2 linked regions of the Schizosaccharomyces pombe genome follow. The gene in region 2 interacts genetically with the main gene of each other region. Each region holds a gene or a part of one and is shown on either strand. Other genes may lie near its edges.

Region 1 (5,018 bases), 680 kb from region 2:
GTATTGTAGATTAGCTGGGTTGTTGTAGTAAGCCATCGAATTTAATTTTTGGTGAGAAACCTGCTCTTGCTAAGTTAGGAGAGAGTAGGAGGGAAAGGTGGGTAAAATGGAAGCTCCTCCTTTTCCCCTTCAACTTTGATTAACAAGCTTTAAAATAGTAATCTTCTCTTTTTTTTTTAAGAAAAAAGCCCCAGTGTGAACAGCAGCGAGAATTTAAGACGGTAAGGGATTGGGATATTTGAAGGTATCGTTAGTCCCAATGAACTTCATGATATTATAAGATGTTCTGTTAAACTGATGTTGAAAATTATTATCAGTTCTGTTATTTTGCTCATTAATTGAAATGTACTTTCGGATATCATCTTTGCATGATATCAAAGTTACAGTCTTTTCTTAAGCTCTTTGATATTTTCATGGCCAGTTCTATTGACATAACAATGAAGATGAAACATATAAAATTTATATGAACTATTATTACAAATGTAGATTTCTGACCCTTGCTCCAAGGAAAATTGTGCATATACAGAGGAAATTAAATGTAAACATTGCTATAATACAGTATAACAGATATTTTACGAGCGACCAAAATTCGTAAGGCATAATCCAGCGGCTTTTTAAAAATTCGTGGATTCAGCTGAACTGTACTATGTAAATGACAATATTATTGCTGTTAAAATATTTGAGCTCATACTTTATACCTGTTTAAATAATACATGAACCGCTCAAAACTAACTTTGGGATATTAAGAGGTTCCAATTTATTTGATTTATTTTTTAATTGTTAACAATTGATTTTTCTACTCCTTAGTATATACCTCAGATGGTTAGTATATGAGTCACTTGAGCTATCGCAAATAATTCAATACGACTAAACAGGTATTCATTTATTGTATACATTAAGAATTACTTGAATTACAATACTAAGCTTATTTTTAGTTATTCTGACAGTAAAGGAAATTTTGAAGTTATTGGTTTTATTTAATTTGAAATTTTTTATTAACTTACGTTACTGTGGCACACAAAGGTTTCATGAAAAAGAGTATTTTTGTGTACCTAACACAAATTGATTATCAGAGTTATTTTTTTATTGTTCTCCTATTTCATTATTTAAACACATTTATGTAATTATTTACAATTAATGGCAGCAAAAATTTGCATTTCATAAATTTACTGATATAAAAAATCCAAAAAAAAAAAATACTTCTATTTATCTAAGGATCACAAGAAGCTACAAATAGAGTAAAAAAAAACTTCAAGAAAACAACAGAAGACGATTATCGCTATTACCCACGACTATTTATATCCTAATTGTAAATTATATTTTCTTTATAATATTCCATCCATCTCGCTAAAAATAAGCTTAATTTTAACGGCCAACAATATATACAAAAACTTAGTGTCTAGTTTCACTATAATAAAGAACTTACTTTTTGCTCTAGAAGAAAAGAAAAAAGAAAAATGAAATGATATGAAGATCTTTCACTCATAAATTAACTGCGGTGTGACAAAATTAGCCGTGACTGGCTCAATGAGAGAAATTTGTTCCTTCCAAAAATTATAATAAAAAAGTCCCATATGTTGTAAAAGTTAAACGAAAAATAAATCGTTTCGAAGCAAGTCTTTGTTTCCTTTGTCAGTAGTAAGCTGTAGGGATTTCAGGAGTTTACACGGAACTATTATTTCTCAGTTTTTGTCAAGCAATTGAATTCTACAGTAATCTTTGTCTTTCACTTAATAAGATATATGTAAAACTTAAATTTGTCTATGTCTGGTGCATAGTTTAGATATTTTCTTAAATCATATTTTTGTAGCAGTTCTGTCAACTCTTCATCTACCACCACGTACATATATGTATATTTTCATTAGTAGCCAATTTTTTTCGACAATATAGGTTCTAAGAAGCATATAATTTAAAATTTTGATTTTTTTCAATCCAGCTCCTCGAGAAGCTCATATTTATTCATAGTTTGACGGCTTTCTTGGTCAGTCGTATCAAAGCAAGCGCAAAGATTCCCACATTTTTGTACTTACAATAGGCTTGTCAACGTTTACTGGAGGAGATTTGTTAAAGTTAATCAATTCGATTAGATTATTGTTTGGATTCAGGTATTGATCGACTCATATTTATCTCTACATAATATTATATCCACGGTTTTACTTTTTTAAAGTCAAAGGCAGTCCCATTTAAGCCAAAAGATTCGTTCGTTTCTCAAAATTTAAAAAGAAAATATACTTAATTGAGCACTTCTGGTAAATCGTTACAATATGCGAATAAACTTTGTTTTGCTCATCACTCTTATTTTACCATGGTTTGTGTCCGGAGATTCTTCTGAAGAAGCCGTGGACGCGCCTTTGGATGTGAAGGATGACACCGGCAATAAGGATTACTATAAAGATTCTACTGGTGCCTACCACTTTGATAAATTAATTGTGACCCCGTTGGAGTACAGAGATGGAGAAAGCTGGAAACAATCTGTCATTTACTGCGACCTCATATTTGCGAAAGAAAACAAAGAAGAAAAAGGTTCTTTTGTCAAAGCGCAACTGAAAGAGGATGCCGAACATCCTTTTATTTACAGACTGCTTAAACTCCAAACACCGTTAGAAACTTATCGTGGATTTATCGATGGAAAAAATACAGAGATTCTTGATGAGATTAAATCAATAAACTTATTCGAGGATTTTCTCAGTGAGTCTCTAGTCCCCGAAATCTCTCCATCAGTTAATATACCCATTGATGAAACTGCATTGTATTGTTTTATCGGAATTCAAGAAACTGAGCCAATTCGTATTCCTTGGCCTGTTTTGACAGTCGAATTTTATGGGGATGCACCTCCTCCGGAGTCTTATTTTCGTACCATAAAATCCACCTTATTAGCGATATCGATGTTTTTAGGATTCATTACACTAACATGGTTGTTGCGTTGTATTAAAAGTCAGTCCGGGGTTCAACCTGCTCAAATTTCCCTTGCATTTTGGGTTTTTATCTTTGTGTTTACCCATTCATATCAGGTGTACTCAATGGTTGCCATCGGAAGGGGTTCCTTTTCAACATGGTACGTAGTTTCCTTTTTATTCTCACTCGTCTTTGAAGAAGGATTGGAACAATCTGCATATACATCATTTTTATTGGTATTGTGTTTTGGCTTGGGAATCACGAAGCCTGCTTTAGTGAAGTACTATGTTTACCTAGCCTTTGTAGCCTTCGTTCAAGGTTTGTTTGTCACGTTTGCACCCCTCTCCTATCCCGTGATGTCCTTTTATGGGGTTCGAGGAATCCTCCTCAAGCTAATTTGGAATATCTATACTTTTGTTTACTATGGATTGCCATTCTTTGCAGTTTACCGACTGTACAAGCAGGCTGGTGAATCAAGGAAACTTGGATTTGAGGCCAAGTACTCTCTTTTGAGGACTTGCTATATTGCATTAGCTGCTGTGACCGTAAGTAATTGCCTATTTTTGGGAGTTGTTCGTCCCTTACTTGGCAGTCAACTTTCACTTGGCTTCCAACTGATAACTTCCTGCATCACGTTTGTTGACTTCTTGGTTTTTGCTTTTCTCTTTGATTGCTCAAAATTTGTCTTCCTAAAATATCAGCCGATCCCCTTTGAATGGTATGCACTGGAATCGATGGAATCCCTTAACCTTGAACCAGCGCCCGATCGTAAAGTGTAAAAAAGCTTTTTGATAATCAGTTTTATATTAGGTCGAGAAAACGGTAGCTGTGTGCGAAAATTTAATCCTTGAAAAATGGTTACTTAATATTTTTTATTTTACTTTTGTGGTGACAGTTCTTACATTTTCTTGATTTTCTTAATTGCACATTCCCATGAGACGCCATTTCTTGATTTTAATACTTGTCTTTTTAAATTGCTTTTTTCAATTACTATATCTTTATCCAGATTTTTTACACTATATACTCTTTCATGCTATTATAACTTTACAAATACTTCCATCCTTTATATTTTTTGCTAACACAATCCCATTTTCTATACATATAAATACGATTCAGCTATATTGAATTCGTACAACTACCTCCTTGATGATTTTTGCTACATTTTTTCTACTTTATGCCTTTTTTGATGATGATTTTGAATATATTGACACTTTGCTAAATAATTAAACAAGCTTCTCTTGATATCCTGCATCCATTTCAAATAGTATCACTTGAAATGTTACATAATTTTAACCATGAGCATCAGCAAGAAGCGACAATGTTTCTAATGCACATACCATTTATCGATTTAGTAATGAGAAAAGTTAAGTTTGTTAAATAGCGATAGAACACTAAACGACAGTAAAGATAATTGCATGCACTCTGTGTTATTATGGAATACCCTATATATCAGTATACCAATCACGCAATCGGGTTGAACTGTTGAATAGTTTCTGGCATGTATTTGTTTCTCTCTACCTTTTACCAAAACGGAAGTTGGAATGGAAGTTCGTATGTATGTCTGAAAACGTAGCTGTTTCATTCCGTTTAAACTAAGACTTCCTTAAGCCAAATAAGCAGTAAATGCTCAAACATATGAAATATTCTTTAAACCCCTAAAAAAAGAAGATCTAATACGTAAACCTTGTGTTCTCTTACTACATTCAGACACGCATTTTTAAATTTGATGAAATTAATGTGTTTGTGAGCAAACTATAGTCATGTGAATGTACGGAGATGATATGGCACGATGATTGTGGACGTAGGTATCCAATATTGTGTGGGAAGTAAATTCAAAAAGGGGCGTCTAGGGGAATGATTAAACGTTTAAACCACGTACAGGAAATCGGAACACTGTATAGGATGTTAACTGTTTTGAGTATCACTAGTTCTGAAACTTGCAAGGAGAATATGTTTATTAGATGATACAGATGTCGTTCAAGATGTTAAAGCTTTAAATCTTTGCTTATGATTAGCTCTATGTCACCCCTGTATTTTGCTTGTGGTTCGTATGATTCTGTACAGCTCATCGATGAAGGGTAGTGGAGTCTTGTAGATATTGGGTACTACTGACGATAGTATCC
Region 2 (4,416 bases):
CTCACCGACGTTACGGAAAGAAGCACCCATGACAATGGTCTTGTAACCGAATTTTTTGTAGTAGTTGAAGATGTTAGAGACACTGACGACACCGGGGTCTTCTTGAGCGGTATAGTCACGGTTATTCTTAGCCTTGTAGAAATCGAGAATACGACCGACGAAAGGAGAAATCAAGGTAACGTTAGCCTCGGCGCAAGCAACAGCTTGGACAAAAGAGAACAAGAGAGTCAAGTTGCAGTGGATGCCCTCTTCCTCGAGTTGCTTAGCAGCTTGGATACCCTCATAGGTGGAGGCAATCTTGATGAGAACACGCTCACGACCAATGCCCTCGGCTTCGTACAACTTGATGAGGTGACGAGCCTTCTCGATAGTAGTTTGGGTGTCAAAAGAGTAACGAGCATCAACTTCGGTGGAGACACGGCCAGGGACGATAGCGAGGATCTTGGTACCGAATTCGATCAAAAGACGATCAAAAGCAATCTCAATTTGAGAGTTGATGGAACCACCCTTTGCCTTGGCATAGTCAACAGCAGCGTCGACGAGAGCAGCATATTGGGGCTTCTTAGAAGCGGCCAAGATGAGAGAAGGGTTTGTGGTGGCATCTTGGGGTTTGTATTTGGCGATCGATTCAAAATCTCCAGTATCGGAGACGACAACAGTGCCAGTGGCCTTTAATTGTTCCAATGAAGACATTTTGATAAAACTACCTCAAAAACTCGTTAGTAAATACTTTTTCCAGACAAATAACTTCGTTTTTCCTAAAAAACACTACAAACATACCTTTTCTGAGTTTCTTGGTGTTCCTAAGGATATAGGTTCTGGTTAAGTTGTGTGTAGCGTGGAAACTTCCACTTAAGCATTTTAGGTACGTCAGCCAAAGTTTCTTTGAATTTGCGGAGAACTTAGCAATGTTTGTCTAGATTTAATTGATTGCTTAAGCAGATGAAAAACTTTCGATTTTACTATAAAATTTCAGAAGAAAAAAATGGAAGCTGCAGACTGTGCTCAATGCATTCTTCACCATCGAAAGTATAGGAAAAGTCGAAAAAATTTATGAAAAAGAAAAATTTTAAAAAATGGTCGAAATCAGATTGTTTTTTTGTTCCAAATTGAAATATATAATGTCAGTAATCTAAGAAAAATAATGCGCTGGTCGCAAGCGGGATCCCGAACAAGATATTGAAGAGATTGACATGACTGGGCTGATTGCAAGTAGTGCCTTAAGGTATGTATTAATGCTAGAACGTTACAAGTATAGTATTGGAAATATTTTGTTAATTGGCACATTTCTTTTGTTTGGTTTGAGCGACATGACAGCAGCAAGTTGCTGCATCGGACATGATCGATGTTCGCACAAGTGTTAAATAGTTGGACCTAAAATTGAATACATATCCATGGAAAACTCTTAAATTGGTAAAAGCATCTGATACTCTTTGGATAGGTATACTCTTCTACCTACACTCTTGTCGATTCGAATTGCCTCTTACAGTAATACAAATGAGATTAGCTTCTAAGGTATCTACAGTCTTCAGAAATGGTCAAGTTCGTAATTAAAAAGGCTTGGTTTTAACCTGTTTATGGACATTGTCTATATAATCGTCAGCGAAATCTTCAAGCATAGTGTGAGATACACCTGTATACCCATAGTTGACGAGCAGATAATCGTAAGGCCTTTTATTTGACTTTCATTACTTATTATTACTTTAATCACTTTTTAAGTAATTTTCTTCAAAATAAACCACCGATATCTCACTCGACATTTAAAAAGAGCTATCTGTATATCCACCTGATGACATTCCATAGTCATCGAGTACAGCTTTGTAGTTTTTCAATAAGACACCCATTCCCGTATCAATTTTACTTTCAAACCACCTTCTGTAACATGTTTCCGGTCAAGTTCAAAGTCACACGTGAATGAATTGTTTGTAGACAAATAAACATCCATAAACTGAGCTTGTCGTGTAATAGGAAGAGAGTCGAGTAAATTCAATGTCATTGCACTTTATAAACTTTCTTCTATTTTTTTCTAGTTTCTTTTTATCTTACCATAACATTATCATTTAGATGAATCAAGTTCAATCCCTGACTCAACAAATTCGCCAACTTTACCTCTCTTTACACTCATTATTTTCAAGCAATTCTATTTGCAAGTCCAAAAGCTTTCCTAATGCCACAAATATTCTATTTCTCACCTTTGCCTAAACAATGGCTCGTCTTGCAACTTGTCAACTCCACGTTTGACTACTTCTAGCAGAATTTATTAAGGACGACTGTGATTGTCTAAACTTGAATTATTTGATAAGTTATCGTATATTCATCTCATTCCCATTGCTGCTTTCGTCCGTATACTGATCGAAATTGGTTTCATTCTGTTACGAATAGTATATATCCTTTCAACAATATCTTTCTTCATCGTAGAAAAACAAAGACATTCTTTTTATTAAAACCCTTACTTTACTTTAAAGATGATTCCTGAGGCGTGTCTTTTCGATATGGACGTACGTACATAGTAAAATAATATGGATCATTTACGGCGTCCATGATCAACAAATACAATATTTATTATCGTTTATTTGTTTTTCATTCTACTTAAAAGTGCTTAGCCTGATGATTCCTTAAAGCATACTACTTGAAAAGCGATAAAGTGTCCTTCTATCTAACGAATACAGGGCTTGTTGGTCGATACAGAGTCAATCTACACAAAAAGCACTAGTAAGTTTTACTCTTCCTTTTCCCTTTCTGTTCAAAGGTATTGGTTAGGCTAACGGTGCGTCTAGATATCATTTTAAAGCGCTATAACAAAGGCCCCTTCTCCATGGAAGTCAAGGCTAAGATGATGGGTAAGTGGCTTTGAGCTGTTGTTGTTTTTTTCAACCTTCTAATCATTCATGCTTTAGGCCGAACTTCAAAGGAGGCCAGCAGAATCTTTTTGGATTGGTCGGGTATTGATTTGACCTGCGAAGAATACATAGCATTACAACGTGAAACTCAAGCTGAACTATGGAGGCATACAAAGCCTTTACCTGGCGTTATGAATTTGTTAAGTAAGTTGAAATCACTAAACATTCCTATAGCACTAGCCACTTCCAGTGACACACACAACTTTGAAAAGAAGTCCGCTCATTTGAGTCATTTGTTTGATCATTTTGATGGAAACATTATCACTGGAGATGACCCTCGATTACCCGTCGGTAGAGGCAAACCTCACCCAGATATTTGGTTCATCGCTTTGAAGATGATCAACGACAAGCGCAAGGCTCAAGGCCAGGCAGAAATCCTGCCAGAGAACTGCTTGGTTTTTGAAGATTCCATTACAGGAGTTCAATCAGGCCGGGCGGCAGGCATGAAAGTTGTGTGGGTTCCTGATGTCAATATTCTTCCCTTTTTTTCTCTTTCTCCAGAACAAGCTGCGGACAAGCATATAACAAAGGTGCTAAGCTTGGAGAATTTCGATGTTACAAAGGTATAGTTGAATTGGTTTCTTTCTCTTACTTTCTTCATTTATCGCTTTTGCTTTATATCTTTTTTTTTGCTCTTTATTTAAGACGCAGCATGCTAGCTGCATTATTTACTTTTTATTCTTCGTTTTACTGATATATTCCCATGTCGTAAAATCTTTAAAAATGAACTCTCATCAAACATTCCAAATCTTTTTTGAATACTTTTCACAAATAACAATCATTACAAAGCCCTCATCCTTGATTCTTTCTTCAATCGTTTGAAAGTGTCTCATCTCCAAGTATCATTTTCACTACGTCTAACACTAGCTATCTAGCAATTTTTCTAAATGTTACTACACATGAGGTATTTTAAGAGATATTGCTTTTCTTATAGTTTGATTTTCAAGAATGTTGACTTTTACAAAAAGTACCTTTTTGGCCAGCACTCCATCATTTAGATGAAAGCACTTATATATTAATAAGGTAAAATTAATCATAAAATAAACAAATAAGTAAAAATTTTAAATTAATTTAAAAGTTCATCCTTCATTTTAGTACTCTCTAGCTGGACTTAGTTCTGTTGGCGCTTATTGGTGAAATTTGCCTGTGTCTTTTCCATATGCCACACCTCAAAGAATCCTTTTTCCAACCACCAAGGATACTATTTCTTTGCTAAATTCCAGTGGTAAATCATTGCCATGGGGTATTCTTTGGGGTACATCGGGGAGCATTGGGAAGAATACCGGGCTGTATTGTACATAGTCTTGCTGCTGCCTGTACTGATCCATTTTCTGATTCGACGAAAAACCCAATTGTCCAATTCAGATAAATCAAGCGAGAAAAAAGATGAGGTAAAGAAACAGAGAGAAGTTAAAAGGTTTAAGCGGGTTGGCAAAAGGGGAAAGATCGGTTCGCCATCCTCTTCCATTCGTAAACAAAATGATACTATTGATTGGAAAAACTCTCCTCTTTGTGT

The links. A genetic interaction does not mean that the proteins touch.
Region 1: mutations in SPOM_SPCC1020.07 (region 2) and SPOM_SPCC61.05 together harm fitness more than expected from each alone (negative genetic interaction), as found in Schizosaccharomyces pombe (one large-scale study listed by BioGRID).

Annotation. Positions count from the first base shown.
Region 1 is NC_003421.2:1,447,342-1,452,359, forward strand, and holds SPOM_SPCC61.05 (uncharacterized protein), read left to right. Parts: upstream 1-1,832; 5' UTR 1,833-2,264; coding exon 2,265-3,674; 3' UTR 3,675-4,270; downstream 4,271-5,018. Other genes in the region: SPOM_SPCC61.04C (Rab GTPase-binding protein), read right to left, coding at 1-36.
Region 2 is NC_003421.2:769,775-774,190, reverse strand, and holds SPOM_SPCC1020.07 (pseudouridine-5'-phosphatase), read left to right. Parts: upstream 1-2,227; 5' UTR 2,228-2,465; coding exon 2,466-2,498; exon of another isoform or gene 2,499-2,669; coding exon 2,670-2,712; exon of another isoform or gene 2,713-2,777; coding exon 2,778-2,840; intron 2,841-2,897; coding exon 2,898-3,469; 3' UTR 3,470-3,916; downstream 3,917-4,416. Other genes in the region: tal1 (transaldolase), read right to left, coding at 1-693; wybutosine biosynthesis protein Tyw1, read left to right, coding at 4,139-4,416.